Tamandua tetradactyla: one gene and its partners. The protein of the gene in region 1 interacts with the protein of each later gene in a biochemical or structural test. Links are inferred from orthologs where the notes say so. Each region holds a gene or a part of one and is shown in the gene's direction. Other genes may lie near its edges. The genes, in order: NEDD4, GABARAPL2, HNRNPUL1 and NTRK1.

What was found.
Region 2: the proteins of NEDD4 (region 1) and GABARAPL2 form a complex in vitro, tested with the Homo sapiens proteins (2 studies listed by BioGRID and IntAct). The link is inferred for Tamandua tetradactyla from reciprocal best matches to the Homo sapiens genes NEDD4 and GABARAPL2.
Region 3: the proteins of NEDD4 (region 1) and HNRNPUL1 form a complex in vitro, tested with the Homo sapiens proteins (2 studies listed by BioGRID, with this or other methods). The link is inferred for Tamandua tetradactyla from reciprocal best matches to the Homo sapiens genes NEDD4 and HNRNPUL1.
Region 4: of the proteins of NEDD4 (region 1) and NTRK1, one has a biochemical effect on the other in vitro, tested with the Homo sapiens proteins (3 studies listed by BioGRID, with this or other methods). The link is inferred for Tamandua tetradactyla from reciprocal best matches to the Homo sapiens genes NEDD4 and NTRK1.

The regions. Positions count from the first base shown.
Region 1 is NC_135340.1:71,135,157-71,143,177, reverse strand, and holds the start of NEDD4 (E3 ubiquitin-protein ligase NEDD4), read left to right. Parts: upstream 1-4,914; 5' UTR 4,915-8,021. UniProt on the Homo sapiens protein: E3 ubiquitin-protein ligase which accepts ubiquitin from an E2 ubiquitin-conjugating enzyme in the form of a thioester and then directly transfers the ubiquitin to targeted substrates. Specifically ubiquitinates 'Lys-63' in target proteins.
Region 2 is NC_135342.1:70,248,268-70,256,171, forward strand, and holds the start of GABARAPL2 (gamma-aminobutyric acid receptor-associated protein-like 2), read left to right. Parts: upstream 1-4,749; 5' UTR 4,750-4,886; coding exon 4,887-4,920; intron 4,921-5,250; coding exon 5,251-5,306; intron 5,307-6,439; coding exon 6,440-6,612; intron 6,613-7,904. UniProt on the Homo sapiens protein: Ubiquitin-like modifier involved in intra-Golgi traffic. Modulates intra-Golgi transport through coupling between NSF activity and SNAREs activation. It first stimulates the ATPase activity of NSF which in turn stimulates the association with GOSR1.
Region 3 is NC_135342.1:22,510,236-22,517,734, reverse strand, and holds the start of HNRNPUL1 (heterogeneous nuclear ribonucleoprotein U-like protein 1), read left to right. Parts: upstream 1-4,230; 5' UTR 4,231-4,463; coding exon 4,464-4,758; intron 4,759-7,499. Other genes in the region: AXL (tyrosine-protein kinase receptor UFO), read left to right, coding at 424-775.
Region 4 is NC_135330.1:9,863,137-9,870,777, forward strand, and holds the start of NTRK1 (high affinity nerve growth factor receptor), read left to right. Parts: upstream 1-4,255; 5' UTR 4,256-4,357; intron 4,358-5,516; 5' UTR 5,517-5,643; coding exon 5,644-5,662; intron 5,663-5,932; coding exon 5,933-6,075; intron 6,076-7,641. UniProt on the Homo sapiens protein: Receptor tyrosine kinase involved in the development and the maturation of the central and peripheral nervous systems through regulation of proliferation, differentiation and survival of sympathetic and nervous neurons.

The DNA.
Region 1 (8,021 bases):
CTTTGTTGATCCTCTGTCTAGATGTTCTGTCCCTTGATGAGAGTGGTGAGTTGAAGTCTCCAACTATTATGGTATATGAGTCTATTTCCCTTTTCAGTGTTTGCAGTATATTCTTCACGTATTTTGGGGCATTCTGATTCGGTGCGTAAATATTTATGATTGTTATGTCTTCTTGTTTAATTGTTCCTTTTATTAGTATATAGTGTCCTTCTTTGTCTCTTTTAACTGTTTTACATTTGAAGTCTAATTTGTTGGATATTAGTATAGCCACTCCTGCTCTTTTCTGGTTGTTATTTGCATGAAATATTTTTTCCCAACCTTTCACTTTCAACCTATGTTTATCTTTGGGTCTAAGATGTGTTTCCTGTAGACAGCATATAGAAGGATCCTGTTTTTTAATCCATTCTGCCAATCTATGTCTTTTGATTGGGGAATTCAGTCCATTGACATTTAGTGTTATTACTGTTTGGATAATATTTTCCTCTAACATTTTGCCTTTTGTATTATATATATCATATCTGATTTTCCTTCTTTCTACACTCTTCTCCATACCTCTCTCTTCTGTCTTTTCGGTTCTGACTCTAGTGCTCCCTTTAGTATTTCTTGCAGAGCTGGTCTCTTGGTCACAAATTCTCTCAGTGACTTTTTGTCTGAGAATGTTTTAATTTCTCCCTCATTTTTGAAGGATAATTTTGCTGGATATAGGAGTCTTGGTTGGCAGTTTTTCTCTTTTAGTATTTTAAATATATCATCCCACTGTCTTCTAGCTTCCATGGTTTCTGCTGAGAAATCTACACAAAGTCTTATTGGGTTTCCCTTGTATGTAATGGATTGTTTTTCTCTTGCTGCTTTCAAGATCTTCTCTTTCTCTTTGACCTCTGACATTCTAACTAGTAAGTGTCTTGGAGAACGCCTATTTGGGTCTAATCTCTTTGGGGTGCGCTGCACTTCTTGGATCTGTAATTTTAGGTCTTTCATAAGAGTTGGGAAATTTTCAGTGATAATTTCTTCCATTAGTTTTTCTCCTCCTTTTCCCTTCTCTTCTCCTTCTGGGACACCCACAACACGTATATTTGTGCGGTTCATATTGTCCTTGAGTTCCCTGATACCCTGTTCAAATTTTTCTATTCTTTTCCCTATAGTTTCTGTTTCTTTTTGGAATTCAGATGTTCCATCCTCCAAATCACTAATTCTATCTTCTGTCTCTTTAAATCTATCATTGTAGCTATCCATTATTTTTTCTATGTTTGCTACTTTATCCTTCACTTCCATAAGTTCTGCGATTTGTTTTTTCAGTTTTTCTATTTCTTCTTTATGTTCAGCCCATGTCCTCTTCATGTCCTCCCTCAATTTATCGATTTCATTTTTGAAGAGGTTTTCCATTTCTGTTCGTATATTCAGCATTAGTTGTCTCAGCTCTTGTGTCTCATTTGAGCTATTGGTTTGTTCCTTTGACTGAGCCATATTCTCAATCTTTTGAGCGTGGACAGTTATCTTCTGCTGCTGGCGTCTGGGCATTTATTCAGATTTCTCTTGGTGTTGGACCCAGCAAGGTTGTAATATTTTTCTGTGAAATCTCTGGGTTCTGTTTTTCTTATCCTGCCCAGTAGGTGGCGCTCGTGGCACACGTTTGTCTGCGGGTCCCACCAGTAAAAGGTGCTGTGGGACCTTAAACTTTGGAAAACTATCGCCGTCCTGGGGGTTCGCTAGCCGAAGCGGCTTGAGCCGGCCCGGGGTCCGAACGCAGGGAGGGTTGCTGGTCGCTGCAGCCAGGGAAAGAGCCCGTCCAAATTTCCTAGTCGGCCCTGGGCAACAAGCGTGGCGGGAGGGCGCCAGCGGGAGCGGCCCGCCCGAGAGAGTGCACGTTCCCCGGGAGTCACGGGGTCACCGTTCTCCGCGGCCTGGGGGTTTCCGATCCAATTCTCTCAGTTGGTCCGGGGACTGCGCGTGGTGTGGGCGCCAGTCGCCTTGGTTTCAGGGGACCACCTCTCCAATTCTCCCAGCCGGCCCGGGAAGGGGGAAGGGAGTAACTCCGGCCGCTTGCCACCCCGCCCGGTAAGGCCCGCGCGCCTCGGCGATCTCACCCAAGCTGCTTCTCTCAGCCAGCCAGCCGTTCCAGGATGGGGTACGCTGTCTTTTTTATCTCTGTTGTGGCTTTGGGCGCTTTCTGTATCGTTTCTACTCCCCTAGTAGGTGTCCTGGAGAAGAAACTAAGATCCGCGCGTCTTACTAAGCCGCCATCTTCCAGGAAGTCTTAAGCAGATTTTTTTCATTTGACCTTGAAAGATTTCAGCAAGACTGAAAGCATCAGCATTAAAATATAAAATACTGCTGTGAATGTTTACTCTGGGGCTATCAAGTATAAACAATAAGTGAAAACTCAGTATATACTTTTTTGATTGTTTATGTACTTTAGGTAGTAGAAGCAACAAATGGTTTTGTCAAGTCGGTACTAAAAGGATTCAGAGCACTAGTTTCCATAAAAACCAACATCTACTTTGGGTGGTTCTAACCTAATAAATTTAAAGTCACTAAATAAAATTGATAATAAGTTAAAACCTAGTCCACACTTAAGTGCTTGCAAACATTTAAATAATCATTTAAAGTTCTTACTTTCTATTTTAGAAAATACTAAAAAATAAATAACAAAATTCATCTTGTTGTTATAAAATTATTAGAAAATGGCTGACACATGATTCTCTGTTCTACTATTAAGTAATTTATGTAATATAAAATATATTGTAAGTAACACATTAGGTGGTGGCAAAACTTCAAGCACTGATTTCTCAGGATTTGTGGACTGATATTCACTAGTTTTTTTTTAATGCAATTTAGTTGAGATATATTCACACACCATATAATCATCCAAAGTATACAATCAGTGGTTTACAGTATCAGCATATATTTGTGCATTCATCACAAGAGACTTTTGAACATTTTCATTGCTCCATATACAATAAAAATAATAATGCAAATAAAAGTAACACATCCCATATCCCCTATTATTTATTTATTTATTGTCTTTATTTTCTTACTCATCTGTCCATACACTAGATAAAAGGAGTCTCAGTCACAAAGTTTTATTAGTCACCTGGTCACACTGTGAAAGTTATATAGTTACACAACAACCTTCAAGAATCAAAGTTACTGGATTCCAGTTTAGCAATTTTAGGCATTTCTCTGTAGCTCCACCAATACACCAAAAACTGAAGCTGTTCACTTGTTCTTAAAGAAATCTTGTGTTTTTGTTACTTAGGTCCATCCTCAGCAACACCGGCTTCTTTTCGAAGTGTTTGATGAAAATCGCTTGGTAAGTGATACTGTGCTAGTGTGAAGTATGAAACAAGGGCATATTTCAGTAGAGCAGCAAGGGAAAGTGTGATGGGAATCTGTGCTTTGGGCGATGATGGATACAATTTTGGTTTTCCTTTTTTCTAGTGCTCCTCTCTACCTTTCCACCATCCTCCCAAGAGATAATAAGGAAAACTGGTTTCTGTCTTGCCTTTCCTCGTGCTCATTTATGTACCTGGGTCAATAGCCCAAGGCTCAGGGAGCCTTCTCCAGAGTATCCTGGGTTGTGCCTCCTCACTGCAGTGTCTTTTCCTGGGCTCACCTCTATCCAGCTTACTACATCCCATCTCCTTCCTCTTATTTCCACCCTTCTACAAAGGAGAACTATCCCGTTTCCACTCAGAAAGGAATAAGCAAATGAATTCCTCTAAAGGATTTCCAGTCTTACATTGGAAAAAAGCAAAATAAAACCTGATTTTTATAAAATGATTTTATGGTTCCTGATTTCCTAAAGACTATCTTGAAGTCCTATCCTTTTCCTTATTTTCTCTCTTAGAGATCCTATTTCTAATTCTCTTCTTAGCATCTTACATTTATATTTTAAATCTGTAAAATTTAAACATATAGGTATAAGAACACTGTTATTTGTTCAAGGCTTATGGTCTTATCACACACATATACCCAAAAAGAAATTAAAGTTTCATTCTTTTTTTTTACATGGGCAGGCACCAGGAATTGAACCCGGGTCTCCAGCATGGCAGGCAAGATTTCTGCCTGCTGCGCCACTGTGGCCCACAGTTTCATTCATTTTTAAGCTAACAAGGACAATGGATTTTGAGAGCATCTGTGTCTAGTGTTAAAATGCATAGCATATTTTTTCCCTCCAGAAACCATAACTGTGCTAGTAGCTGAAGATATCATAAATGAATCTATTAATTAGCATCATCATAAGCAAAGGTGCTGCCAAAAAGGACTGTTCATCACTGTGTACAATCTGATTTTCTAAGGTTGAGTGGCAGATACTGATGATTAGGTTACCAAATATGATCAGGTACCAAACTTTATGTTTTCTGTTTTTAATTCTAGTGTTCTTTTAATCATAAAATGTATAATATAAACAAAAAAGTATATGAAAGACAAATTTTTATTTTAAAGAATTTGATAAACAACTGTATACTCATTATTCAGCTTCGCAACTAGAACATTACCAAATACTTTGAAACCCTTCTTTGTCCCTTCCCAGTGGTATCTCGTTTCTTCTCCCATAAGTAACCACTATCCCTAATTTTATGTTTATAATTTAAGATATTTTTTATCATATATCCATTTTAAAAATTGGTTTCTTTTTGCTTGTTTTTGTATCTATAAAAATCGTATCATTCTGAATGCATTCTTTTGTGACTTGCTTTTTTGTTTAATGTATATTTTTTAGATTGATCCATGATGACACATTTTGACTGATGTATAGTATTCTATGATCTACAAAATCCATTGTCCTTGTTAGCTTAAAAATGAATGAAACTGTGGGCCACAGTGGCTCAGCAGGCAGAAATCTTGCCTGCCATGCTGGAGACCCGGGTTCGATTCCTGGTGCCTGCCCATGTAAAAAAAAAGAATGAAACTTTAATTTCTTTTTGGGTATATGTGTGTGATAAGACCATAATACCGTATCTACAAAATACCGTAATTTGTGTATTTATCCTCCTTAGTAGATATTTGGGTTGTTTCCAGTTTTTTGCTATTATCAATCAGTAAATGTTCTTGCTGTGTTTCCTTATGGACATGTACAAAGGCATCTCTAAGGTCCATATTTTGGAGTTGAATTGCTGAGTCATGGTATTAGTATCTTATTTCTCCTGTTATTACTGATACTGATATAAATTTCTCCCTGATTTTTGGGTGTATTGTTGGTCAACTGTTTATCTGTTGTCCTCAAAGAGGGAAAACTCGTCTTTTTCCTTTCCACTCTGGTTAGCTGTTTAGTCCTTTCTTACAGTAATTTTAATATGGTATGACTCTTTCATGGCTGAAATTGATGTTTATCATACATTGATTGGTGCATTAACATTCCTTAAGCATTTACTCTGTGCACAGTACTATATGGGATGTCATGATGAGTTGGAAGGAAAAAGTTTTGCCTCTAATATTGGCAATTGGATGTTTCTAGATTGATAAGTATGATACATAAAAATAAATTTGTTTACTAAAAACAACACCAAAAGATGCATTCATCAGGATATTATAAATCTCCACACCAAGGTCTCAGAAGTTTTATTGAAGTCCTGCCTCTGCTGTGGTATATTACCTTGTAACCCTGGACGAGTCATTTAATCCCTCTGAAAATATTTTCTTTTGTTTTAAAAATGAGGTTAACAATATTTGCCCTGCCTTTCTGATAAGTTTAATGTAAAGATAAAATTAGATGACTATGAAAGCATTCAGAAAATTAACCATCATGATATAAATATGAAGTGTTATTTAACATTCTTGGGTTCCTGCATTTATGGCTTTCCGACACCGTATTTTTTGTGTTTACTAAAGTATGTCATTTAGTGTATGCATTGTTAGATGCTTTGCTGTGCATTGGAATATAGCTGCTTTTCTCAAGAAACTCACTTTACTAGCAAAAGGGAGCAAAAGATCATTAGAACTGGGTCATGTGTGTTGTTGTTAGTCCTAGCAAGAAACTGAAGTGTGCAGATACTGAGATATTACAGAAACTGTAGCGGCTGGTAGAGTAATAGACTTGATTCTGTAACATTGAATGACCTATGCCATTGCACATGTCATCCTGTCTCTCCTGAAGCATTCACAACTAAATTAAGAACATATCCTTTACCTAGCAAGTTCTATTAGGAAGTGTAGGGAAAAGAATATAGGTATAATTTTAAACAGAAATAACTTTTTGTAATTTGGAACACTTTTGCAATATAACTGACCTTTGCTGTTAAGAAAGTGTAGGCTCGCTTTCCCATTTTTTCAGTCAACTTAGATCCTGAGGGTTGATTATTAACTATAGGACTGGTGTTCGGTGTTGGTGTAATATTGATGTTGGTAATGCTGGTGATGGAACGTTTTAGAATGATGTGTCTTTAAGAAAATTCTGCCCACCAATACAAAAGTTACTATTTCTGTGTCACCTAAGAGATATGTCTGCACATCCAGCCACTGAAGCTTTAGGAGACTCCTATATTCTGGGTGGAGATGCTGTGTTTCTCCGGTTTCGTGATCTTTGGCCTTAAGAATTCTAGTCAGTGGATAGAGTTATCCAGGGCCTGTATATACCATGTGAGCAATTGCATTGTTTTTGTTGTAGATAATCAATAACCAGAATCATTCAGAAGAGTTGTGAGTCTCCATCTAATCATAAGGCATTACTGGCATACCTTGTTCTATTCCACTTTGCTTTATTGTGCTTAGCAGATACTGCATTTTTATAAATTGAAGGTTTGTGGCAACTTCATGTTGAGCAAATCTATCGATATCATTTTTCAACTTCATGTGCTCACTTTGTGTCTCTGTCATATTTTAATTAATTTATGTACATTTTTAAAGACATAATGCTATTGCAGACTTAATAAACTACCATATGTATAAATGTAACTCTTACATGCACTGGAAAACCAAACATTTGCGACTCGCTTTATTGCAGTAGGCCGGAATCGAACTCACAATATCTCTGAGGAATGCCTGTATCTGTCTCACTCGATATGGAATTCCCACAGGACTTGTGTGGGTTTCTCACATGAGGGCTGCCACCACTCTCAGGTTCTTCCCTACTTGAGCTTAGAGTTGATGCCCCTCTTTTGGCATTTTATGGGCTAAGAGGCCATATTTTACCCCAGGTTCCACAGCAGTATCTGTAATCGGTATTACTGATTCTGTGTAATCCTAGACCTCGGCCAGCAGTACAAACTGTTCAGCCTCTCTAGGATTTAAATTCAGACTGGAGTGTTAGGAGTTGCATATATATTCTCTTACATTACCTTTCCTTTGCTGAATCCTTCTCTGCAAACTTTCCTTTCCTTCTTGTCAAGCTGCAGTGCTTTTTGCTAGGATCAATGTCTCTCACTTTCTCTCCCACACATACACACACACACACACACACACACAACCTGAAAGGAAGCGTCAGGCAGACAGCGTGCCTGGTATAGTTTAGTGCTTACTTTGTGTCCAGCATGAGTTCAGGAGGATTGGAAGAAATGTTTAGTTATGGTTCTTGAACACTGGAAGCTTAAAATCTAGTTAGGAGTCATGAAACTAATGCTTATAGTGAAGCTTATCAAAGAGAAAACGTTTATCCAACCAAATATATGATGCTTGTTATTTTCTATTAACAGAGATGTTTTGCTTATTAACTGGAAATTAGATTTGCATTGTTGATCCATCGCAAGTAATCCATTATTTGGGTTACCAGACCTCCATCTTAATCCAAAAAGGAAAGCTGTAGTCATGTGAAGGCAAGGTAAAAAGATTAGGACTCTTCCTTCTATATAAAAAAAAAAAGATGATAAGGAATAATTTACTGAAGTTTGTAAAATCATAAAGGAGATAGGTTTCATGAAACCAAATAACATAAACATTAGGTTTATAATTACTGTATAAATTCTCAAATATAATGCTATTTCTTTTTAGTCAAATATATACTTTAGTAAATGCCTTCAATTCTATCTTGTGGTGTTTAAATGGATTTAAAAATACTGTTTAGAAAATTGTGATTGAAAGTAGTT
Region 2 (7,904 bases), on another chromosome or scaffold:
AGCCAGGTTCCTTGCCTCCGACGGATAGAGGGTAATTACTACATAGTACTCATGATATACTTGACCTCTTTGCAGATAGTGGGTACAAGCTTGGCTAGCGGTTTTAGGGAAAGCTGTAGCCCTACCCCAAAATAGCATTGGCTTACCCCTTAATGGAATGCTACGCATACACGCACACATACACACACTAGTATTTTGGACATAGCAGAAGAATTTTTTTTTTTACCATGGTTTACACCCAAGTTCATTAAAGAGTCCTGAAGGAGCACATCGTAGTATCAAGAGATAATGTGACGGGGTGGGGGGTATGGTATGTATGAATTTTTTTCTGTTTTCTTTTATTTCTTTTTCTGAATAGATGCAAATGTTCCAAGAAATGATCGTGATGATGAATATGCAACTATGTGATGATATTGTGAATTACTGTTTATATATGTAGAACAAAATGATTATATATATATATATATATTGGGTAGATGGAAATATGAGTGGTCAATGAGAGGGAGGGGTAAGGGGTATGGTATGTATGAGTTTTTCTTTTTTCTTTTCATTTCTTTTTCTGGAGCGATGAAAATGTTCTAAGAAATGATCATGGTGATGAATATACAAGTATGTGCTGATATTGTGAGCCACTGATTGTATACCATATATGGAATGTTCATATGTTAAGAATGTTTGTTTGTATGTTGTTTTGTCAGTAAAAATATTTAAAAAAGAAAGAGAGAGAGATAATGTGAAATTTGTGCTGAGTGGAGTCCGGTAGCTGGTGCCCCTAATTTGAAGGCAACCTAGAAGTAGCTACTAGATGAACAGCTGCGATTCAAACATACAGAGATCAAGAGCTGCCCATTCTGGAGAACTATCCTCAGGGTCCTTACAAGGGTCCAAGATGACATTGTCCTCAACCATAAAATATGACTTTGACATAGTCCAGTACTCTCATTCTTGCTTTTAAAGCTTTTCTGGGGTGGCAACATTGCTTTTAACTTCAGCAATTTTTGTGCTCAAGTCTATGGTTTGATTCTTAAAAATTATACTGTGTACATTTTAAGTGGATGATTTTCATTTACTCAAGTAGCTATTAAAATAAGATTTTTCTAGAACAGATGCCAGATAGTGCCTCCTGAGTGTGGCCCTGTTACTGGACAAAGGCCGTGGATTCTTTTGCCCGACGCGCTCAATAACCAATTCCTGAGACACCAGGGTTTCAAAGAGAGATAGCGTTTATTATGAGGCATGTAGTACAAGAATAGATGGCTTAGCTGTCCCAAATCTGTTTCCCTGAACTGCAGTAATTCTGATAGTTTTATTAGAGAAAAGATGGGCACGGTTTAGAATAATGAGCACAATGGCCCCAGATGATGTAATTAGAGGTGATCTAATTATTGAGCTTGTGCAGATCGATTACATGCTTAGTTACAGAACGTGTGTAAGAAAATGATGGAGAGGTATAGGTGTCTCACAGGTTAAAGTCTAAGCTACTGCACATGTCAGGCAGACCCGCTTTTGTTAGATCCAGTCTCTTTTATCAAGATAACTTTAGATTTGGGGTGGGTTAGTTCTGGTCCAGACCCAAGATACTTCATTAATAAATATTAGGGGCTGTCTTTAGTTATTACAAGACTCTAAAGTTGAAAAACTGGATAACTTGGTAAAATGAAGATCAGTCACAGGGTTTTTACAATCACAGAGAAGATAAGGGCTATACAATCATTACCAGGGATCAGGACAGTTCAGAGATTTCAGGTATTTCCCTCTGTCCAATATGCCATAAAGGAAAAAGGAATATTTATATAATGATTCAGTAATCAAAGTCATCACTTAAATCCTGGTTTCTTGGTTACAGTCCTCTTTGGAGGAAAGAGGCTTTGAAGGACTGCTGAAGGAAACATACTGTAGCTAGTTTCAATTTAGTTACTGCTGAAATAGAAGCAGCTGACTGCTAAGAATGTAGGTGCATTGAGTGTTTCAGCTTCTGTGAGGTGCATGAACTTTACACAAGTATTTATTATGGGAAAAGACATAAAAAAAAAAGTAGGTAGGGAGAGAGGACAGAAAGACACTGCACATCAATGAAACCATCAGGAGGCAGGACCATGAGTTGGTGAATGGTGGATAACTCCTTTCCCTGAGAAATATACTGAGTTCTCATGTGCAAGGTGATAGATACATGCCTGGGACCAGAACATAATTACCAACTCTGTAAAGGGAAGCAAGAGTCTGGGTCCAATTTCTAACTCCTCTGCTGATTCACACATTATGAGAAGGTGAACAACCATCTTCACTCCTTGGGGGTTAATTCTATCCTTAAAATAGATATTTTTCCCTTTATTTTCACTCACCCTCTAGCTCTCACCTAGTTCCATAGCTTTAAATACTTCTCCCCTGAATCTGAGACTAATAGATCTATTTACCAATTTCACATCTTCATTTGGATGTCTTTTGGATCTGTTTCTTGGGCATCTTTTGCTTAATATATCCAAAACCAAACTCTTGACCCCACTTCAACAACACTGGCTCCACCCTATTTCAGCAAATGGCAATTCAATTCTTCCAACAACCTCGACTTTGACTTCTAATACACACCCATATCCAATCTGATAAAAGCAATACGTTTCATACAATTTAGGATCTTAAAGCATTATTAAGTAATTCTTAAACTGGGCAGGATTCCATTCAGAAAGTAGAAGGAAGCGCCATTAAAGGGGTGAAAAAGAGAAGCTCAGACAGGGTGAAAGCAGAAGCAAGCAAGGAAATGTTCTGCTTGGCTGCTATTAGTTTCCATTTTACATAGAGGAGTCTTACAAAGTGGGGAGCAGATATAAATTGATAGTATGGTATGCTTGTCCATTCTGATAAGCTTTCTCTACTGGACCAAAGCAATCCTGTAGGGTGTATTCCATTTTCTCAGAATTGTTTTTGTCTTCTAGAAAAGCTTTTTGGGAAGGGGTCTTCTCCTGGCAATGCCCAAAGTGGGTGGTCATTTCATTTTACTTAAATGTATCGGCCAATTTTGTAAGCTCTAACCTTCAAAATATATCCAGTATATAATTACTTCCCACCACCACCATAGATACCATCCTGGTCTAAATCAACATCATCTTTCATGTGGATTATCACAACAGCTTCTTAACTTGTCCCCTTACTTCCACCTTCACCCCCACCCCCCACCATAATCTACTGTCTACACACAAGCAAGTCTGATCATTTAAAAAGGAAAGTCCTTTGCTCAAGTCCTCCACTAACTTCCCACCTCATTCTGAATAAAATTCAAAGTTCTGTCCATGGTATATGAGGCTCAAAACCTCTTTGACCTCCTCTTCTACCACTGTCCTCTTTGTTCCCTCAGTTCCAGACACACCAGCTCCTTCCTGTTCCCATAATATGCCACCACTCGATCCATAAAGCATTTTATCCCACTATCACTCTTTAGGTCCTTACCCTGCTTTACTTTTCTAAACAGCACCTCTATTTATATGACATATTTATTTATTGTCTTGTTCCACTAGAATTTTAGTAAACTCTATGAGAACAGGGATGCTATGTGTTTTGCTCACTGCTGTTTCCCCAGCACCTAGAACAGTGCTCCCGTATACAAAAACACCTGATTTCTATGTATGAAATTAAAAGAATTTTTCACGTTATTATCAACAAACAAACACTCACCTATTTTGGCTGCTCAGACATGCAGTCTTAAAATAACAAAAATAATTTTAAAATGAAGCTAGATTCAACAGCATCCATGGAGAATTTTAATTGTAGGAAATGATGAATGATAATATTCAAATACAGGCCATTCAGATGCATCAGAATCACAAGCACGGGGTAAGGGTCATGTGCCCAATTAAGTGAATATTCTTATTAAACATTCACCAGCTCATAAATAGATGATGACCCAGACTGGACTGCCCTGATGACTCTGCTTGGAAGAAGGGGATTACATCATGGATTGGAAGGCGTCAAGGCATGTGCTGGGGCAAGTGACACACACACACACACAGCCCAGGCTGTGATTTGCAATCCTCCATCTGCCAAACAAGGAAGCCCGACTCCTGACCAGCTGTCACGGTAATTCTTCGAGACTGACAGTCACTAGGTAAGGTTAAGGGGTCTCTCTTAGTGATCAATAAAGTTACATTCCTCAAATGTGTATTTTGATGCCCTTTCTTAAATGTTCATCAAATATTTATGTATGAATAAAGGAAGGAAATGAAAGTTGTTCAAATTCGATTTCTACATCGAAGGCAACCTATTATGAGTGTCTTCCAGGTTGTCTCTAGTACACCACTCCCCACCCCAGGCTTCTCAAACTAGTCACACACTGTCATACCGAGCCACACCTGCCCCCCCCTCCAAACAATGTCAATACCCAAACAGACCCCCTTCCATCGTCAACCCCAGAAACCCAATGTCTTTTATACTTCCAAACATCCCCTCCTGTCAACTAACACCCTAATCAGACCTCCCCATCAAAAGCCCTCTGTAATTGCCCTGTCCTATTAGCCATACTCCAAACTCCCCTTCCCATAACTAACGTCCACCCAGACCCTGCTCCTGTCACCGTTTCCCGGAGCATCCTCTCCCGGAGTCACCAGCATCCCTCACAGACACACCTACGCAGCAGGTAGCCAGGTAACCGTCCCGGCGCCCCGCGGAGCCCCTCGCGGGGTCCTCCAGGCCCCTCCCCTTCGTGTGGCCCCGCCCCCTGGCATGGTGCCCCGGCAAGTGGCGCCGGAAGCCCCGCCTCCTGCCCGTTGCCAAGCTCGGGCAGCCGGAAGTCCCGCCTGCCGTGTAGTCGCCGCCGCCGCTGCCGTCGTTGTTGTTGTGGTCGGTGCGCTGAGTTCCGCGGCTCGGAGAGCCGGCTCTGTCCCTTCGCCGCCGCCGCCATGAAGTGGATGTTCAAGGAGGACCACTCGCTGGGTAAGCGCTTGGCCGCCTGCCGGGCCGTGGGGGTGGGGGTGGGGGTGGGGGTGGCGGGTGGGCCCCCTCCCCCACTCGGGCTGTCCTGGGTCGGGCCTGGCGGGGCTGATGCTGTGCCCTGGGCTTGGGACGCCGAGGCCCCGGTCCCTGGATGGCCGACGCCGGCCCCGTCACGCCCTCATTCGTCCCGACCAAGAGTCAGGGGATAAAGGACAGCGACCGCGGGGACGCTCGAACGAGGGCCCGGGACGTGCGCAGGTCGCGGGGTAGGAAGGTTGGGGACTCGATACCGGCCGGCGTGTCTGTCAGCTCCGTGTGTTTCCCCTACAGAACACAGATGCGTGGAATCCGCGAAGATCCGAGCGAAATATCCCGACCGGGTTCCGGTGAGTGTTCGGCCTCCCCCGCCCCCTCACCTCGCCGTCACCCCTGCCGTCTAGGGTCTGTGATTAGGATACTAGGCCATTCAGCAGTTGACAAGTTGAGGTTCCAGTCCCGGTTGTAGTAGCAGAAAGGCTGGACTGTGTTAGGGCGGTCAGGGGCAGGGCGTGAGGGGCTCGGGTTTCTGCTGTTCAAGGTTTCTCGGTGCTGAATCTCCTGATCTAGGCCAGAGAGCTGTCTGCAGCCTCTGGGCTCCCTCGCCAATTATATAAGGAACGTTGTTCTGGGACAGGGCAATAGGTCATTGCCACTTGGGGGAATAATGGTGGAGGAGGACTGTCACTTTGGTCTTAGAAGTGGTACTTCAGTCTCAGAACATTCCTTTTTAACTTCAAACCTCCATTTTTACATAACCTCCAGCTTCCTTTCCTCACTCAGACCCTGCTTTCTTTGACCAAAAAAAACCTGAAAGCCACAAAAGAATCCCTTGTCCTCTGGTTTCCCTTTAATAGACAATAAGTATGATCCTGTATTTCTTCCAGGGTGGGGAAATATTGGTTTTCCCAGGGAATCAGGCCTTTTATTGTAGTTCTTTGCCTGTGAACAATTCTTTTGGAGAGAGAGCAGGAAGGACATTCAGACCTCATTCAGACAGAAGCAACAGGCCAAACGAAGAGCGTGGTTCTTGGCTGGCTGGGGTAGCTAGTCATTCTTATTAGTCCATCCCTCTTTGTTTCCAGGGCTCCTTGGGATATTAATTCTCCTGTAGTGTGAAGCAGATCCTGTCTGGGATCCTGGGGTAACAGGCTTTAGATAAAATCCTCACCAGATATTCTCCTTTCTGCTCAAATAGAATGTTGAAAAGCTTAGTAGTAAGAGCTGTGTTTCTCTTATACAGGCTGAGATCAGGGATGAGAAATACAGTACGTGACCACAGAAAAGCACTTACCATTGTAACACGTTTATGTCATTTCTCAATCTCCAGAGTGTGTGGTTTATTAAGATGGGGCTTATTTTCTCATGCTACTCAATTTCCCACCCACCTCCTAGCTCTTACTGTATTTATTAGCTTCCCTGACAATGTGAGGCCAGAGCCTCACTTTAGAAATCCAGTCCTAACTTCTCTTTACTTTCTCAGGTGATTGTGGAAAAAGTCTCAGGCTCTCAAATTGTTGACATTGACAAACGGAAGTACCTGGTTCCATCTGACATCACTGTGGCTCAATTTATGTGGATCATCAGAAAAAGGATTCAGCTTCCTTCTGAAAAGGCGATCTTCCTGTTTGTGGATAAGACAGTCCCACAGTCCAGGTGAGAGATGGTCAGTAGAAGGGCCCTCTGGTAATGACCACTGTTTGGCGTCTTACAAACTCAGAACTTTGAAAGTGTGAATACTCTTAAGGGTCTTGAGTGAATATCTGGATTTTGTGCTTCCTAGCATCAGGAGCCCTCCATGAAAATGAGGAAGGGCAGCAAGACATGGGAGCATACTTTAAGTTAACAAAAGAGAATTCAGTCCCTGTTTTTTAATTCAGGGCCTGAATTTAAAAAAAAAGAAGACGAAAGAAACCCTGCCTTAGAACCCCAAGAATCTTTTAAAACAGTTGAGGACTCAGTTTTAAGCCATAGCTGGAACTGATGCCTCAAATAAAGTTTTCTCTAAATGATCTGTGAAATTAGACCTGTCACTCCACCAGGAGCTTGTGGGCCCTGCTGAGACTGAGACTCAGCCTCAGCTATTCATCCTGCTACTTGCTGTCTAAATGCAGTTAGCTCTTCCCACTATGAGAATCTATAGGTCCCTGATCCTCACTCAAGTCCATTAAAATGGCTACTGTCCAGTCAAGGGCCCTGAAGTCTCTACAGATTAACCCTGTCTTGGTGCCACCTGCTTTGACTGTCAGAGGAGCTCCTGTGCTCTGTCTTGCTACCTGAAAGCAATCTTTGAGGTTATAACTTGGGACCTAAATCTAGGCAGGGCGTTACAATTTTTCCTCTTCTGTGAGGTTGACAGCTTAGCTTTAGTTCCCTGTGGAAAGGAAAATGGACTGGTTCAGTCTAAACCTCTGGACTGTCCTTTACTGTTACTGATTGTGTGCTTCTCGCCCCTGAGTGCGAGTTCCTGGCTGTATTTTGGTAATCCACAACTAACTCAGGTGTTATTTGTTACTCTAAAAGTAGTATATCTAACTAAAGCTGGTAACTAGCCCACTGTGGCCAAAATATGCTCCCTTTAAAAATCCTTGAAAGCTCCAGAAGAGGGCTAAGGCAAATACCAGACCTGTTTATTCTTAAGTCTGATTTCCTCTTTCTCAATCTCCATGTCTTCATTTCCTCGTGTTTGGCAGAGAGGCAGGGCAGGGAAGAAATAGAAATCTCTTCTCTAATGCCAGTGTCCTGCCCACGAGGTACCATTTGTCTTCTTCAGCTGTAACTTAGAAGCTGCAGTGTTGCCAGAGGTGATTTAGTCACCCCAATGGGCTCTTCCAGCCTCCCTGCCTTTTCCACAGGCCTCTGGGCAGTGTGGTGCTGGTGTACTCTTACCCAGGGAGGAAGCCCTGGCCATCTGTAGTTGCTCTTGGCTTCCCTTAAGGTGGTGGGGA
Region 3 (7,499 bases), on another chromosome or scaffold:
AATCACTAAGTCCTGCCCACACTCAAGGGGAGAGGAATTAGGCTCCCTCTTTTGAAGGGAAGAGTGTCAAAGAATCTGTGCACAGATTTGAAGTCATCATAGCGTGCAAGTGGCAGAGCCAGGCGTTGAGGCCTGAGTCTGTTCTGGGGAACCACAGTGGGAAGCTCTGTTCTGACAAGCCCCCATTAGAACACCACCCCACGCCCAGAGCACAAGACCCGCCTAGCTCCCAAATCTTCCAGGAACCCGCTTAGAAACTCTTGGGAATTCTCAATCCCCACAGATGCTTCCAAACTGCTGAGGTTCCCTGCAGCCCACAAGAGATGTCCCCAGTCCCCTTAGTGTCCTAAGGTGCCCCAGACTCCCAGAATGCTCCCTTCCAAGCCCCCGCTCATCCTCCCACTCATCACTCTGTCACCTTAGGTACGCCCTGATGTTCCGTTGCTGGGAGCTAAACCCCAGGGACCGGCCAAGTTTTGCAGAACTACGGGAGGACCTGGAGAATACACTGAAGGCCCTGCCCCCAGCCCAGGAACCTGACGAAATCCTCTATGTCAACATGGATGAGGGTGGGGGTCATTCCGAGCCCCTTGGAGCTGCTGGAGGAGCTGACCCCCCCATCCAACCTGACCCTAAGGATGCCTGCAGCTGCCTCACTGCCGCTGAGATCCACCCTGCCGGACGCTACGTGCTCTGCCCTTCCACAGCTCCCGGCCCCACCCTGCCTGCCAACAGGGGCTCCCCTGCACCGCCAGGGCAGGAGGATGGAGCCTAAGTCAACCCTCCATCTGTGACTCCCTCTCAGGACCCAAGCTAGGCACTGCCACTGGGGGGAATGCCCCACGTTACTTTCCCATCCCAGGCCTTTCCTTCACGTGCAGCCCTCCTTTCCCACCCACCTCCAAACATCCCAAACAGACCCTCCCTCTTCTCCAGGCCTTAGCGTCCTCATCTGTAAAAGGAAGGGAGTTAGCTTCAGTCCTGAAGGGTCCTCCCAGTTTGACATTTCGAAATTCTAGATTCTAGGATCTAAAGAGTCTAGAGTTTAAGGTTCTGAGTTTCAAAGATGCTATGAGTCTTTGGTTCTAAGGAGCTATTTCAAGGTCTCCACTGATAAAGTTCTAAGGTTCTAGACGTGGAGGTTCTAAGGCCTAATGTACTAAAGCTCTGAGATTCTATGAATCTAGATTTTCTGGTTCTACGATTCTTGATAAGGGTCCAAGATTTTAGGTTACAAAGCTCTAAGATTCTAGTTCTAGCATCTAAGGCTTTATAAGACTCTGGATTATAAGGCTTCAAGTTTTCTACTCTTAAGATCTGAGATTCTCATGACAGTCAATTCTAGGTTCCAAGGCTTTATGATCCTAGATTCTTTTGTTATAAGAACCTGGATCCTAAGAGTCTAAGTTTCTAGAATCTGCATTTCAAAAATTCTAAGTCTAAACACAGAGGTTCTAAGGTCTAATGTTCCGAGATGAGATGTTCGAACACTCAATGAACCTAGATTCTCTGTGTCTAAGATTCTAGATCATATACTCTGAGATTCTAGATTATTAAACTCTAATAAGATGACGTTGTTTCTATATTCCAAGGCACTGTAGATGCTATTGGTCTAAGATATGGATCCTAAGCATCTAAAGTTCGAAGACTATCACCGTTAGTTGTAAATTTCTAAGATTCTAGACACCAACATTCTAATCATTTCTAATGTTGGACACCTCTAGGTTCTATGCTACATTCCGTCTTTCTAGGATTTTAGTTCCTAAGAGCCCAAGAGTACACATTTCTAAAATATTAAGATTCCAGGCACTGTAGTTCTAAGACTCAAATGCTCTAAGTTTCAAAGATTCTAAAATTCCACAGGTCCAGAATATTAGTATGATTCCAAGGTTGGAACCTTATAATATTCTTCTATGTGCCCCTCCCTTTCTTAGCCACCTCTGTTTCCTTCTACCCTTGAGTGGAGGTGTGCTGCTGCCCTCAAGCTTTGCAATGCATTAGGGATGCCTCCTCCCCCCCCCCAGGAGACAATCTCCCCCATTTTGGGTCATGCTGCCCCCTTGAGCCAGTCCTTCATCCCCCATGTACAGAGTGTGGACTCTGGTGCCTCTGGAGAGGCTCAGTTCACATAAAACTTCTGTCTCTTCTTGTCTCCCTCCAATCAGCTGTGGTGTGGCCCCTCTCCCTGCCAACTCAATTTCCCCATCAATAAAAAGGAGGTGGTAGGGCCTCAGAGTTGTCATGTCACTATAGAGCTACTCAGAGGGTAGAAAATACACAGAGACAAAAAGACACACAAGCAAAGAAACCCAGACTGAGAAACTCTGAGTTAGGAATAGGCACATAGATACACCTGGGGTCACATAAAGACCCCCAAAGTCACAGGCACATGAATCAATGGACATAGGTGTGATGGTTCACAAATACAAAGGCACTGAAAGAGATAAACGAAGTTACACAGAAACAAACATCTTTACAAACATACACACAGGCAGATACAAGGAATAGGAAGATCAGAGTAACAGAGATCCTAAAACAGTGACACAAGTACTCAGAGACATATAAAAGTACAACAGGTACAGGCGCAAACGTACAAATTCACACAGAGACACAGGTACAGAACGCTTGCCATAATCACCGGCCACCAAGGGGACCTCTGCCAAGACAAGCCCACTGTCTTGCAGGCATTGGCGGGCATCCGTTCCTGGGTGTGTCCCACATCTGATGGAGGAACCCTTGGCAGCGCCCGGACGCCCCCCGGTGGCGGCTCCTGAGGACCGGGAACAGTTCAATCCGGGCCACAAACTTTTTAGAACAAATCATTGTGGGAAGCTGGGAGGAAAGAGGAAGTCGGACGTGGGCGAGGGGCGGGGTGTCTGGACTGGAACCTCCGGGCCCACGTGAGTGTCTGCCTCGTTTCTGAGTGGGTGCTGTGTGTCTAGATTGCTGGAAGCTTGCAATGTAACTGTCCTGTGTGTCTTTTGATGCCGCGTGTCCGTGCGGACCTTAGCTGACGCGTATACGCGGCTATCTGATGCATCCTGAATTGGTGTATTATGCCCGGAATTATTGCATCTAATCTCAGTCTCATCGATTTGTACATCCGTGCCGTGCATTCATTTACGTTGAGGCTGTTGTGTGGCTTTTGTGGGCTTAAGATATGGCTCACTGGACAGAGGGTGGGTGTATTGTGTATCTCGCTTGTGGATTTTACTGAAGTTTCGTCTTTCGAGTTAGAGACGACAGGTAGTGCAGGATTCCGGGTGCGAGGCAGTCATTGTGAAACTCTGTGGCGTTTGTATTTATCAGTGTGAAGCTTAACTTCGTATCCGTATATTGAGCTTGTCAGTACCGCCGCCAAACAGATCTGGGGTAAGAACAAACAAAAACAGCTTCTGGAATTCTTTCGGGGGCGGGGCCTCCTGCGAGAGCCCATTCCACTTAAGGTACCAACCATAGAGAAGAGGCCGCAGAGCTACGCTCGACGAGGGCCTTGAGAGCTGCACCATCGAAGGGGAGGGGGTGCAGCTTCCTTTACAACTTTTCTCCCCTTGTTAGTCTGGCCTCTATTTTCGAATCTTCAAGGGCTCTCCGAAGTCAAGTGTTGTTTTCATAAAGGCAAGTGAGTTTCTTCCAGGTTAAGAAAAAAATGATCTACTTCATCTCTATTCCGTATACCTCCCTCTACAGCGAAACTTTTGAGGCCGTCCTCTGAAAAACGGCCAATCTGGTTAGCTTTTCCTAAAGCATCCAGCTATCTTGGCTTTACGAGATAAAACAGTAATTGCGATTGACCGACAGACTGTTTTGAAACCGCCCTAACGGCAAGAGGCGGGTCCTTCGTTAATAAATCTCCTTCCGGTTCTTAAAGCCACCAGAAGATTGGTTGTAGTGGTTTTACCGCTTGGCCACCTCAAGGGGCGGGAGATCTACACCAATCAGGATGTGTGTTACAGAGATACTAGGTTGATGAAAGAACTGCGCAGGAAAGGGTTTGGTGGCGCTCATTCTGAGACCTCATTGCTGACTGGTCCAAATCTTTACTCCCTTTCCTTCATTTGATTCTACGGTAGCGGGCGCGCGGGCGCCACCCAATCAGCGCGCGCTCCGCCTTCCGCCTTTTCCCGCCCTCCGCTCCGGCCGCGGCAGCGACGTAGGCCAACGCTTCCTTCCCGGTAGTTCCTAGATCTTCTCGTTTCCATTGTTTTGAAAGCCGCGATCTAATTGGCTGAGTTTCCGGACCCGCGCCCGTTGCCCCGTGATCTGGCCAATTGGCATGCGTGTTGCATCACACGGGGCCACGGGGAGGGGGAGGTGGCGGCGGCGGCCATTTTGAGCCGCCGCCGCCGCCATTGGAGTGCCCCCCCCTTCTTCCCCCTTCGCCTCCTGACAGGAAAGGTTTAAGGGGGACAGAGCCCTGGGAGGCCGGGCCGGGCTCGGGGGCCGCCCCGGGGGCCCGGGCCATGGATGTGCGCCGTCTGAAGGTGAACGAACTTCGCGAGGAGCTGCAGCGCCGCGGCCTGGACACTCGCGGCCTCAAGGCCGAGCTAGCTGAGCGGCTGCAGGCGGCATTGGAGGCCGAGGAGCCCGACGACGAGCGGGAGCTCGAGACCGACGACGAACCGGGGCGACCCGGGCACAACAACGAGGAGGTCGAGACCGAGGGGGGCTCCGAGCTGGAGGGAACCGCGCAGCCACCGCCGCCCGGGCTGCAGCCGCACCCGGAGCCTGGCGGCTACTCGGGGCCGGATGGACATTGTGAGAGTGCGCGGGGCGGGGGCCGGGGCCGAGGAGTCCGGGCCGAGAAAGGGCTGAGGGACGCGGGAGTCTGGTGCCTGGGGCTAAGGAGGCGGTCTTAGGGGCTAGGGATCCTGAGACCCGCCGCTGAAAAGGATGTGGGGACAAGGGCCTCGGGAGGGCCGGAGGGTGGATCCTGGCATTCGGCGCAGGGGAGATGTTGGAATTGGCGACTCTTCGTTTCGGAGATGAAGATCGGGGGTAAAAGATTTCGGAGCCCAGGGCTCGGAAGCCGGAAATAGAAGAGACTGAAAGGTCTCGGAAAGGATGGTCCCAGAGTTTAGAGCTGGATGGTCTTGGGGACTTTGCTAGCCTAGCGTGTGGGTGTGGGAATTGGAGGCCGTGTGTTTCCAAGGTTGGAGAAGGAATAACCAGCTCTTCGGCATTGGGAGAGTTTGAGGATTGAAGTTTGCAGCTACATGGGGTGCTGGGATGGTTTGTAGAGATGGAGGGTCCATTGGGCCTGGAGGTGGTCAGCATCCTCTTGAGGATGGCTTGGAGGGTCTCTGAGATCCAGGGCTGGAAGGCCAACCTTGAGGCAGGAGCAACTTGGGCATTTGGTGTGGGTAGGAGGACCTTCAGATTTGCTGCTAAGGGAGGCTTAGGGAACCTTGGCGTCCAAAGTTCTCTGAACAAGAGACCTGGGGGCCTAAGGCTGAAACAACTAAGGGTAGATACCTCAGGGTGGGGACAGATAACAGGTTGTTGGAGTTTGAAGTAACTGGAGTACTTGGGGACAGAGGATCCTTGTATCCAGTATAGGGAAAAGGGGTGAAGGGAGCTTGTTGGATGTGCAGAAGGAAAACTGTTTGGTTTGACTGGGGATTCACAATAGAGTGGGGGCAGTGTTTTGGGGGCCAAAGACCTGTCTTTGAGAAGGGGGCACCTGGATTCCTGAAAGCAGTTATCTGTGTGCCGTGGGGCGGGGGGGTGACCTCAGGATTTGAGGGCATAAGAGGGACTTAGGTAGGGCAAGGGCTTCTGAGCAGAGGAGACCCTGGTATGGGAAGGAGTGAATTTGGAGTTAGAAAAGGGTGAATTTTTAGCAGGAGTGGGGGTTGGAAATTTAGAGACCAAAAAAATAAGTGGGTGGGACTCTGGTGTCCAGAGTTTGGTTTCTTTGAAAAGAGGGTATACTGGGGCTTGGGACTAAGGAAATATAGAAACCTGATCACAGAAGAGACAAAATTTCAGGTTAACATTGGTTAATGAGGGATGGGAGCTAATGGAGAGGAGTGGGGAACCTGAGTATAGACTTAGGGTCGAGGAGGGTGCTAGGATTATCCAGGACCCAGGTGCAGAGAAGAGGACTTCCCATTGCAAAGGGAAGGGAAGGAGAAGTGGCCTGGTGTGCATGTCTAGGGCAGGAGGGACCTTGGCAAGGATACCTAGAAGGAGGGTAATGTGGGACAGTTTTGATCTAGAGGTCCAGCCAGAGGTGTCTCAGAGAGGAAGAGTTCAGTACTTCACTGCACAAATTCTAGACACACACAGACTTCCTTTCATGTCTGATTCTGTAATTTGGGCAAGTCATTCGTCTCTCTGAGCCCTATAAAATAGAGATGATGATAGGCCCCCTCAGGCTTGTAATGAATTAGATCATATATGTGGGGGGCTTAGCACTGGGCCTGCCTAGTAATTAGCAGGGGGATATTTTAGAGAGTGGAGAAGGACCCTGGAGTCAAAACTTCCCGACGCGATGCTGCTTCTGTGAGCACAGGAAGGGTGCTTGGGAAGAGGGATATAGGGCATGTGGGGAGACGAGCACTGTACTTAGAGCATGGAAGAGGCAGAATGGTTTGAAAGGGCCCCCTGTGTTTCATTTAGGAAATATTCTATTTTTTCCTCTCTCCCCTGCCCCCCATAACAAAATCTTATTAACCATTTTCGTGTCCACCCCCCAATCCTTCATTCAGCCTTGTAAACAGACCTATAACAAACCATGTGACTTGCAGCTATCCTCCCTTTGGGTTGCACCTGGTTTTGCCCAGATGTATTTGTCCTCTGAGAAGGAAACCAGTTGGTTAGCGGGTGGCAGAGTTATCTCTCCTTCCCTGTGTTTCTGCCTTAATGCTCTGGCACAGCCACTAGCAGGGCCCTGGAGACACCCAGCAGAGAGCTGCCCCCTGGGGTGGAGAGGCTGGGCCCTGCTCAGCAGAGGTTTCTCAAGTTCTCTCTGGGTTTGCCTGTAAGTTCTCCTCCTTGTGGGAGTTTCTGGTTTGGTACTCTGGTTTCAGTCCCAATTCTGAGATTTCTGATATGTTATGCCAATCCCAGGAGTGGTCTCCTCCATTCTCATCACTCAGTTATTGCCTATGTATCCTTCCTTTGTAGTCCTTAACACAATCATAACTTTTTTTGTGAGTATTTGTTTAATGTATGCTAACCTGAAGGCTTCTGCTGGGCAGGGGTTCAGCTCAGCTTATTCTCAACCATATCTCAGGGTCTATATAATACACACTCCAGGAATAGTTCATATTATTGTTCTTTCCATGCTCCAGCTGAGCTCCTTCTGGACTCCTAAGACTTCTTGCCAGAACCCTTCTAATCTAACTCTAAATATTTCAAGACTTATCCTTAATGAATCTGAAGGCCATTATTGTTATAAACCCTATTTTCATTACAGCTCCTTTCCCTCCTCAATTTCTCTTTTCAGTATAGTATGGTTACCCCTTAATGTTTGGCAGCTATTACAGAGTGGG
Region 4 (7,641 bases), on another chromosome or scaffold:
GTAATAACTGGCCGAGAGGTACCCAAGCATCAAATGGTGATGGTAGAAAATACTTGGTATTCTGTGTGGCTGGCGGGGCCAGCAAGACGTCTGGAAAAGGGAAGGAACTGCTGGAAAATCCTGCTCCCGTAGCCTCAGGCTTAGACGATGGGCAAGGAACCCTGGCCTCGTTCAGCAAGGGAGTGGAAGGTAGCTGAGGAGGGGGCCTTCGTGGACTGGCCGATGCTTGGGCAGCCTGCAATAACTGGCACTGAGTTCCTCGGGTATCTCATGGTAATTAACGGGAAGGTATTCAACATCTTTCTCTAATGGCCCTAGGGAGACCAGGCAGAGAGATGGCGGCATCTTGATCTGGGCCTAGGTCCCTGCATGGTGGGAGGGGGCGTGAGACCCAGACTGCCAGACCCCCCGGCCCAGCCCACTCATCACCCTGGCCCTTCACACAAGGGTCCAGGCTCCTGAGTGTTCCACAGCAGTGCTCCCTCCTCCCTTTTCTCTTCCAAGCCCCAGGTAGGTTCAGGAAGGGGAGGTGGGGACGGGAGGCTGAGGCGGGGAGGAGGACAGGGCTGGAGAACTGGGAGGCATGCAGGGCGGTGCGCTGAGATGTTCCTCTGGGTGGGGCAGCAGCCTGACCCACCGCCTCTGCCTGCCCGGTCCCCTCCCTCTTCCCTCACCCGCGGAGCTAACGAGGAGATAATGGACTCGAATAGACAGATTGATTATGAATCCAAACGAAAGAGGCAGCTTTGCGACCACGGCTTTGGGTTTGCTGCCTGACAGCTCGCGCACACACTTGGCCGCTGTGGCCACCGCCTTCTCACCCCTTCCCTGGACCCCTGCAGCTCTAAACCCGCTGGGCAGAGGCTGGAGTGGGGGATAGGGTAGGGACCTGCCCTCCCTCGGGGTCACCCCTTGGCCTGTGGGAACCGAAGACCTGATGTCTGGCTGCCCTGCTGGAGACAGGGCTGGAAAGGAGCGGGGCGGGTCACTGAGGCTGGTCCTGGTTCTTTCACAAGTTAGGGGAAATCAGAGGGTGGAGGGGAAGGTTCTGAGAAGAGGCTGTGAGTCAGGGGCCCCTAGCTCATGTGGGGGAGCACACAGACGTGCCACTGCAGGGCAGCTGGAGTTCTTAGGAACTGCCTGGCATGCTAGGCCCAGAAGCTGAGCCAGCCCGGGTGCAGCCACCCCCCTCCCCACATGCCTGCTCTTTCTTATCTCACTATCTTGCTTTCTCTGGTTCTCTGTCTTTATCCATCTGTCTTTCTGTCTCCCTTTTCTTTGCTATTTTTCTTCTTGTCTGTCTCTGTTTCTCTGCCAGTCTCTGCCAGTGTCTCTGTTTCACTCTCTGTCTCTTTCTTCCACCTGCTCCCCACGTTAAGCCTTCCGGCCTCTCTCACTGTGCAGGTCAGTCAGTCCCTGCCTCTCCGCCCCCCTCCACCGCCCACCCCCCTCCGCCACTCTGACTCTCTCAATGCCCCTCTCCTCCTTCCTCACTCCCTCGGGGTGCCTCCTGGAGCAGGGAGGGGCTCGGGGGGTCCCTGACAGCCTCTGTGTCCCTTGCCTGCTCTACGGAAAGGTGTGTGTGGCGGGCGAGAGGCTAGCGGCTCAGAGGGGACAGGGAGTATGTGGTGGCATGTTTGTGTTTGTGTGGTGTGTGGTGTGTGTGTGGAGTGGTGTGGGTAAGTCCTGAGAGCGGACCCTGAGCCAGTGGGTTTGGGAGCACAAATTCGCATGACCTGGGGGTTTCCTGTGTGCTGGGTGGGGCAGGAACAGCGAGGAGCCTTGCTCATTGTGGAAGCAAATGCTTCAAAGAGGGGCCGCCTCCATTGTTGAACATGGGCAGGAGAGGCAGGAGAGGCCCTTGTGCACAGGCAGAACACCAAGCTGAGGATGGACTTGTGTGTTTGTGTGTGCCTGAGCGTGCATATGTGCACATGTGTATGTGTGTGCCAGAGATACACATGAAGGCTTGTGCATATGTGTGTGTCCTGTGATGATGTGAGCATGCATGTATGTGTGTGCACACGTGTCTGTGCAGTGTAAATGTGTGAGGAGGTACGTCTGTGCATATGTGTACGTCTGTGTGTCTATGTGTGTGTATGAGAGATGTGTGAGAGTGTGTACACATAGATGCTTGCGTGAGAGCGTGAGTATGCATCCTGCATGTACACGCATGTGCTTGTGTGTCCCTGCGTGCACATGTGAACACATGTGGGATGTCTCTGTGCACAGGTGTATGCATGCATGTGTACATGGACACATCTTGAATGTGTATGCACGTGAACAGGATTTGTGTGCATGGATGTGTGTGTGTGCATATGAACATGCAGTGCCTGTACACGTGTGTGTGTGATTGTGAGGGGGCATGTGGGTGGGCACAGGGACGCAAGTGGGAGCTGGGCCCGTGACTCCCTTCTTCTCTGCCCACAGCTACATTGAGAACCAGCAGCGTCTGCAGCACCTGGAGATCAGCGACTTGAAGGGCCTGGGGCAGTTGAGAAACCTGTGAGGGGCAGGGGACTGTGGGGGTGGGGGTGGGGCTCAGCCTGGGGGTGGAGGACAGAGAGTCAGGGAGGGCTCCAGGGTGTGAGGCGCTGGGCTGGCGGAAGTCAGAGAAGCTCAGGGGTAGCCGAGGGGGAAACTGAGGCAGGTGGGGAAAGGTGCAGGGCACAGCACTGGAGCTGGCGTGGGTGGAGAGAGCCACGGGTCGAGGGGCACAGGGTGGCTAACCCCCCGGGGGCTGATCTTCCCGCACCCTCCCCAGCACCATTGTGAAGAGTGGTCTCCGTTCAGTGGCGCCAGATGCCTTCCGTTTCACTCCTCGGCTCACACACCTGTGAGTGGTGGGACTGGGGGGAGGGAGCTGGGGGAGGACACCCCAACTGGGCTATGGATGGTCTTGGACCCCCTCAGGGAACTGTCCTAAGAAGGCCCCCAGCCTGGTGAAGGAAGGCGTCTCACCCGCTTTCCTGGGGCTCCTTCTTGCGAGTTCACTCCAGGACTGCATGCAGTACTCTTGGCCCCCAGCCCTGCTAACTGGGCTGGAAGAAGGTCCTTCTTGTTGTCTCACTTCCATGCTTTATGCTGCAGGGACACTTCTCCTAGGTGCCCGCCCCATCTCTCTTCCCTGGGTTGTGATACACACGGTCCAGAGGGAGCCAGGGAGGAAAGCAGGAACTCCTGGTTTGTGGCAGGGACTCCATCTCCGCGCCACCCCCTCCCTGGTGGGAAGACATCCGCATGCCCGCTGGGATGGCCTGGGAGCTGGGAGTCATCTCTGCCACTTACCAGCCTTAACTTTACTGGGAGTTACAGAGGATGGGGTGACCCTGGAGGGAGAGGCTCTCTGCGTCCTTGGCAACCTTTCCCTGGCCACAGGGTTGGGTGGTGCATTGGGAAGGGAGGTGGGGGCTGCCCTTCATGGGTTGTACTAGGCACTGACCGCTTCACTGCCCTTATGCCAGTGAATCTTTGCAGCCAACCTGGTAAGAAAGGTAGCATCATGCCTGTTTTATAGATGAGGGCTCTGAGCGCGGAGAGCCCTCTGAGATCACAGGGCTGTAAGCGGCAGGGCAGAACTAACACCAGCGCTGCCTGGCTCTAAAGCGGGTATTCTTCCTGGTCCTTAGGGGGAGCTCTCCAACCCAGCCCGTCCCCACCCCAATTCTAGGGCAGCTAAGCATAAAGAGGGGACAGGACAGGTCTCCCAAGGCACAGGGCACAGAACACCTAGGCCAGCTTACTGGGTGGCCTGGAGCCGTCCCCACCGCAGAGAGAACTGGGGTCCCTGCCTGCCTTGACTTTCCTTAGTTCCCGAGGAAGGACTGGAGGGAGGAGGAGGGAGGGGACACATGGAAGGACTTGGAGATGCTGGTTCTCCAGTAGGAGGCAAGGGAGTGTGGGAGCCTCAGAACCTCCCCCCTTCATCTCTGGCCCCAGCCTGGACTCTGTGGGGGAGGGGAACACAGATGGAGCCCCCTCCCCCAGCTGTGGCCTCAGCACTTTGCCAGCTGGGGCCTAAGGGTTCTGGGAGGGGAGGGGAGAAGCTGCTCCCTCAGATCCCCCCTCCCCAGGTTAAGTGGGGTTAACCCTTGTTGTCCCAGGGAGGGAAAGAGCCTACCCCCCACCCATCCCTGCTGCCTCCCAGGGCTTGTTGTAGTTGTGAGGGTTGGAGAGGGGGAGGCAGATGTCACCTTCCCCCCACGGCCGCCCTCCTCTGGCTCGCACTGGGTCAGAGTGAGGTCGGGTCACTCACAGGGTCTCTGTCTCGCTCTGTCTGAACTCTCAGGAACCTCTCCTCCAACAGCCTGGAGTCTCTCTCCTGGAAAACCGTCCAGGGCCTCTCCCTACAGGAACTGTGAGTGCGGGGGGCTTCCCAGGCGAGCGCAGTGCGTGTGTGCGTGTGTGTGTGTGTGTGTGTGCATGTGTGTGTGCGCGTGTGTGTGCGCGTGTCTCGGCATGCTGGTCTGTCACTGTGCTGTGTGGGACAGCTTGGGGACTGGGGGGTGGTCGCTGGTTCTTTGGGGCCCCTGTGTCTGGCTGAGATCACAAGTGCCTGTGAAGGGCGCATCAGAGCAGAGGTGTCTGGAGGGGGCTCCTGCCCTGGGGGGCGTGGGGGGCAGGGCTGGCCGTGAGAAATCCCGTGTGTGCGCCCGGGAGGCGGGTGGGAGGCTCTGGGCCGTGCTGCGTGGACGCGCTGGGCTTGCACACGGCGGGTGCACCCACATGCCTGCTGTGCCGTGCAGGCGGCGCCCAGGCGGCAGGGTGGCCCCGATGGCCTGCCGGTCACACCCGGGGCTGAGTGAACCCTTTCTTCCTCGACACTGTGCTCAGAGTGCTCGCTCGCCTGGCACCCACAGCCCACTGCCTTTGACTTTTCTCTATTTTTTTTTAAATTTCTCAGTCTTTTTTTAAAAAAATGCAATTTTGAGATGTAGTCAACTCACCATACAGTCCCTCCAAAGTATATTATCAGCGCCTCGCAGTGTCACCGCCTGGTTGTGCATTCCTCACCACAACAAATTTTAGAACATTTTCATTACTCAAGAAAAAGAAATACATGTAAAAAAGAAGACCCAAAATATCCCATACCCCTAATTACCACCCCCCACCCCCAATATTGATCGCTCATATCGATGTGGTACATTTGCTACTGTGGGTGAAAGAATTGTGAGCTATTACTGTTAACTGCAGTCCATAGTTCCCAGTAGATAATCTTTTCCCGTGCACCAGTCTTGTTGACACCTTGTAATAGTGGGGGGCCCTCGTTCTAGTTCATAGAACTCTTACCTATCTGCGCAGTGCATCACAGTTATCCTCCTGTATTTCTTTCAATTGCATCTTGTTCCAGGGGTGCAGGAGAGGAGCTCCTCCCGCGTCCGCCTTCTCGCACCTCTAGACCTTCCTCCCTGGTGTCCCCGCACCTCCGCCCACTGTGGGCATTTAATTCCTTGTGGCTCTTCAGGCCCCATGCCTGCGCCTTTCCTCACCCCCTTGCTGTCCCTCCCGCCCACCAGGGTCCTGTCCGGGAACCCCCTGCGCTGCTCCTGTGCCCTGCGCTGGCTGCAGCGCTGGGAGGAGGAGGGGCTGGGCGGAGTGCAGGGACAGCAGCTCCAGTGCCGCGGGCAGGGGCCCCTCGCCCTCATGCCCAACACCAGCTGCGGTAGGTGCTGCAGGCCGTGCTGAGGGGGCTGGGAAAGGAGCTCCCTGCTTGGGGAGAGGGCCCCGCCCAGGGCTGGTGGGCATCCAACCGGACTTGGCGGGGGGGGGGGGGGCAGGGGGAGGTGGCAGGGGGGAGCTCTGGGCGGGGGACTGAGGCACAGGGCCTTGCCTGGGCTCAGCGTCATGAGGAGGGTGGGGGAGGAGCACTGCCCCGGGGAAGGGTTCGGGACCACTCCCAGCTCTGACACCCCTCGGGCGTCCGGGTGGCCAGGTGTGCCTACGCTGAAGGTCCAGATGCCCAATGCCTCGGTGGACGTGGGGGACGACGTGGTGCTGCAGTGCCAGGTGGAGGGGCGGGGCCTGAAGCAGGCCGGTTGGCTCCTGGCGGAGCTGGAGGAGGCAGCCACAGTAAGGGTGAGAAGCCCGTTACCCCCGGAGAGACCCGGCAGGGCAGGGGAGAGAGAGATGCACACGGGGTACACAGAGACAATGGATAAGTTGCACACAGAGCGGGAGGGACGGACAGAGTGGGCAGGAGCCCATAGGGCTCAGGCTGGGGCACACCCCACCCTCGGGGCGGGCACTTAGGCAGCCCCCTCTCTGGGGAGCCTGGTGCTGATGGCAAAAGGGCCACAGCGCCCTCACACAGAGCCGAGAGGGACCCGACAGACCATCCCCCCCAGGTACCTGCTGTCTAGATAAGGGAAACTGAGGCCCAGGGAGGGGCATAGTATCTGCGCTTCTGCCTGGGGGGTCGTGGAGACTTTCCAGGTCTCCTTTTCTGGAGATTCTGGAAGCAGCAGCCTCTGGGGTGTGATGAGCATCTTAGTAAAGGAAACACATGCTTTTGGTTCCAGCTCCCTCACCAATTAATTCTCGGAGTGGCTTTCAGAAAAATCCCTAATCTGCCTGCACTTTGGTTTTCTTATCTGTAAACTGAGGAAGTGGACATGATGGCCTTCTTTTTTTTATTATTTAAATTTTTTTTGTTAGAGAAATTGTGGGTTTACAGAAAAATCATGTGTAAAATGCAGGATTCCCACATTGCACCCTATCATTAACACCTTGCATTGGTGTGGTACATTTGTTACAACTGGTGAGAGCACATTTTTATAATTGTACTATTAATTATAGCCCATGGTTTAACTTAGGGTTCGCCATTTGTGTAGTGCCGTTTCATGGATGTTTTTAAAAGTTTTTATTTTGTTACCTTCTATAAACTTAATATTTCCCCTTTTAACCACATTCGAATAGATATCTCAGTGCTGTTAATTATGTGCACAATGTCATGCTACTATCACCACTGTCCATTACCAAAACGTCGCCATCATTCCAAATAGGAGCGACGTGATGGTCTGATGTTCCGCCTGCCTCTGGGCATTCTCTGGCCTCTATCTCTGTCATCCAGACGTGTCTTTGGACACCTGCCCAGGCCTTGCCCTTGGTTCCCAGGCTGGTGACGGCAGCCGGGAGTGGTCTGACAGCTAAGGCTCGGAGGCCTTGATGACAAGGTCACCCGGGGCTGACAATGGGTTGTGCCTGTCCGAAAAGCCAGCCCCACCTGGGCAGCAGGAGTGTGGCACTAAGTCCAGCCCCTGGGAGGAGCTGGGCCAATGGCCAACGGGGTGTTCAGTTTTGAGGCTCTCACTGTGGGAGGGGGGTCAGCACCAGAGTTGCTGGAAGACCCTGTAACCGTGTTGAAGGAGGGACCATTGGAGCCCTGGGTAGGGGAAGCCCAGACATGAGGAGGGACCACTGGCAGGTGAGTGGACCCTCCCTCTGCAGAGATCAAAGATGCCTTTGAGTGAGAACCAGCAAGCAGACCAGGCAGGGGCGAGGGGCTGGTCCTGCCCGCCTGTGGGAAGACTTGAGTTCATCTGTTTTGGGAAGTTCCAGAGTTTTGCTTTTCTGTATGGGGAAATGACGGATTTGCTACCATCAGTATTTTTTTGACACTTGCTTCAGAAAAGTCACTTCCTA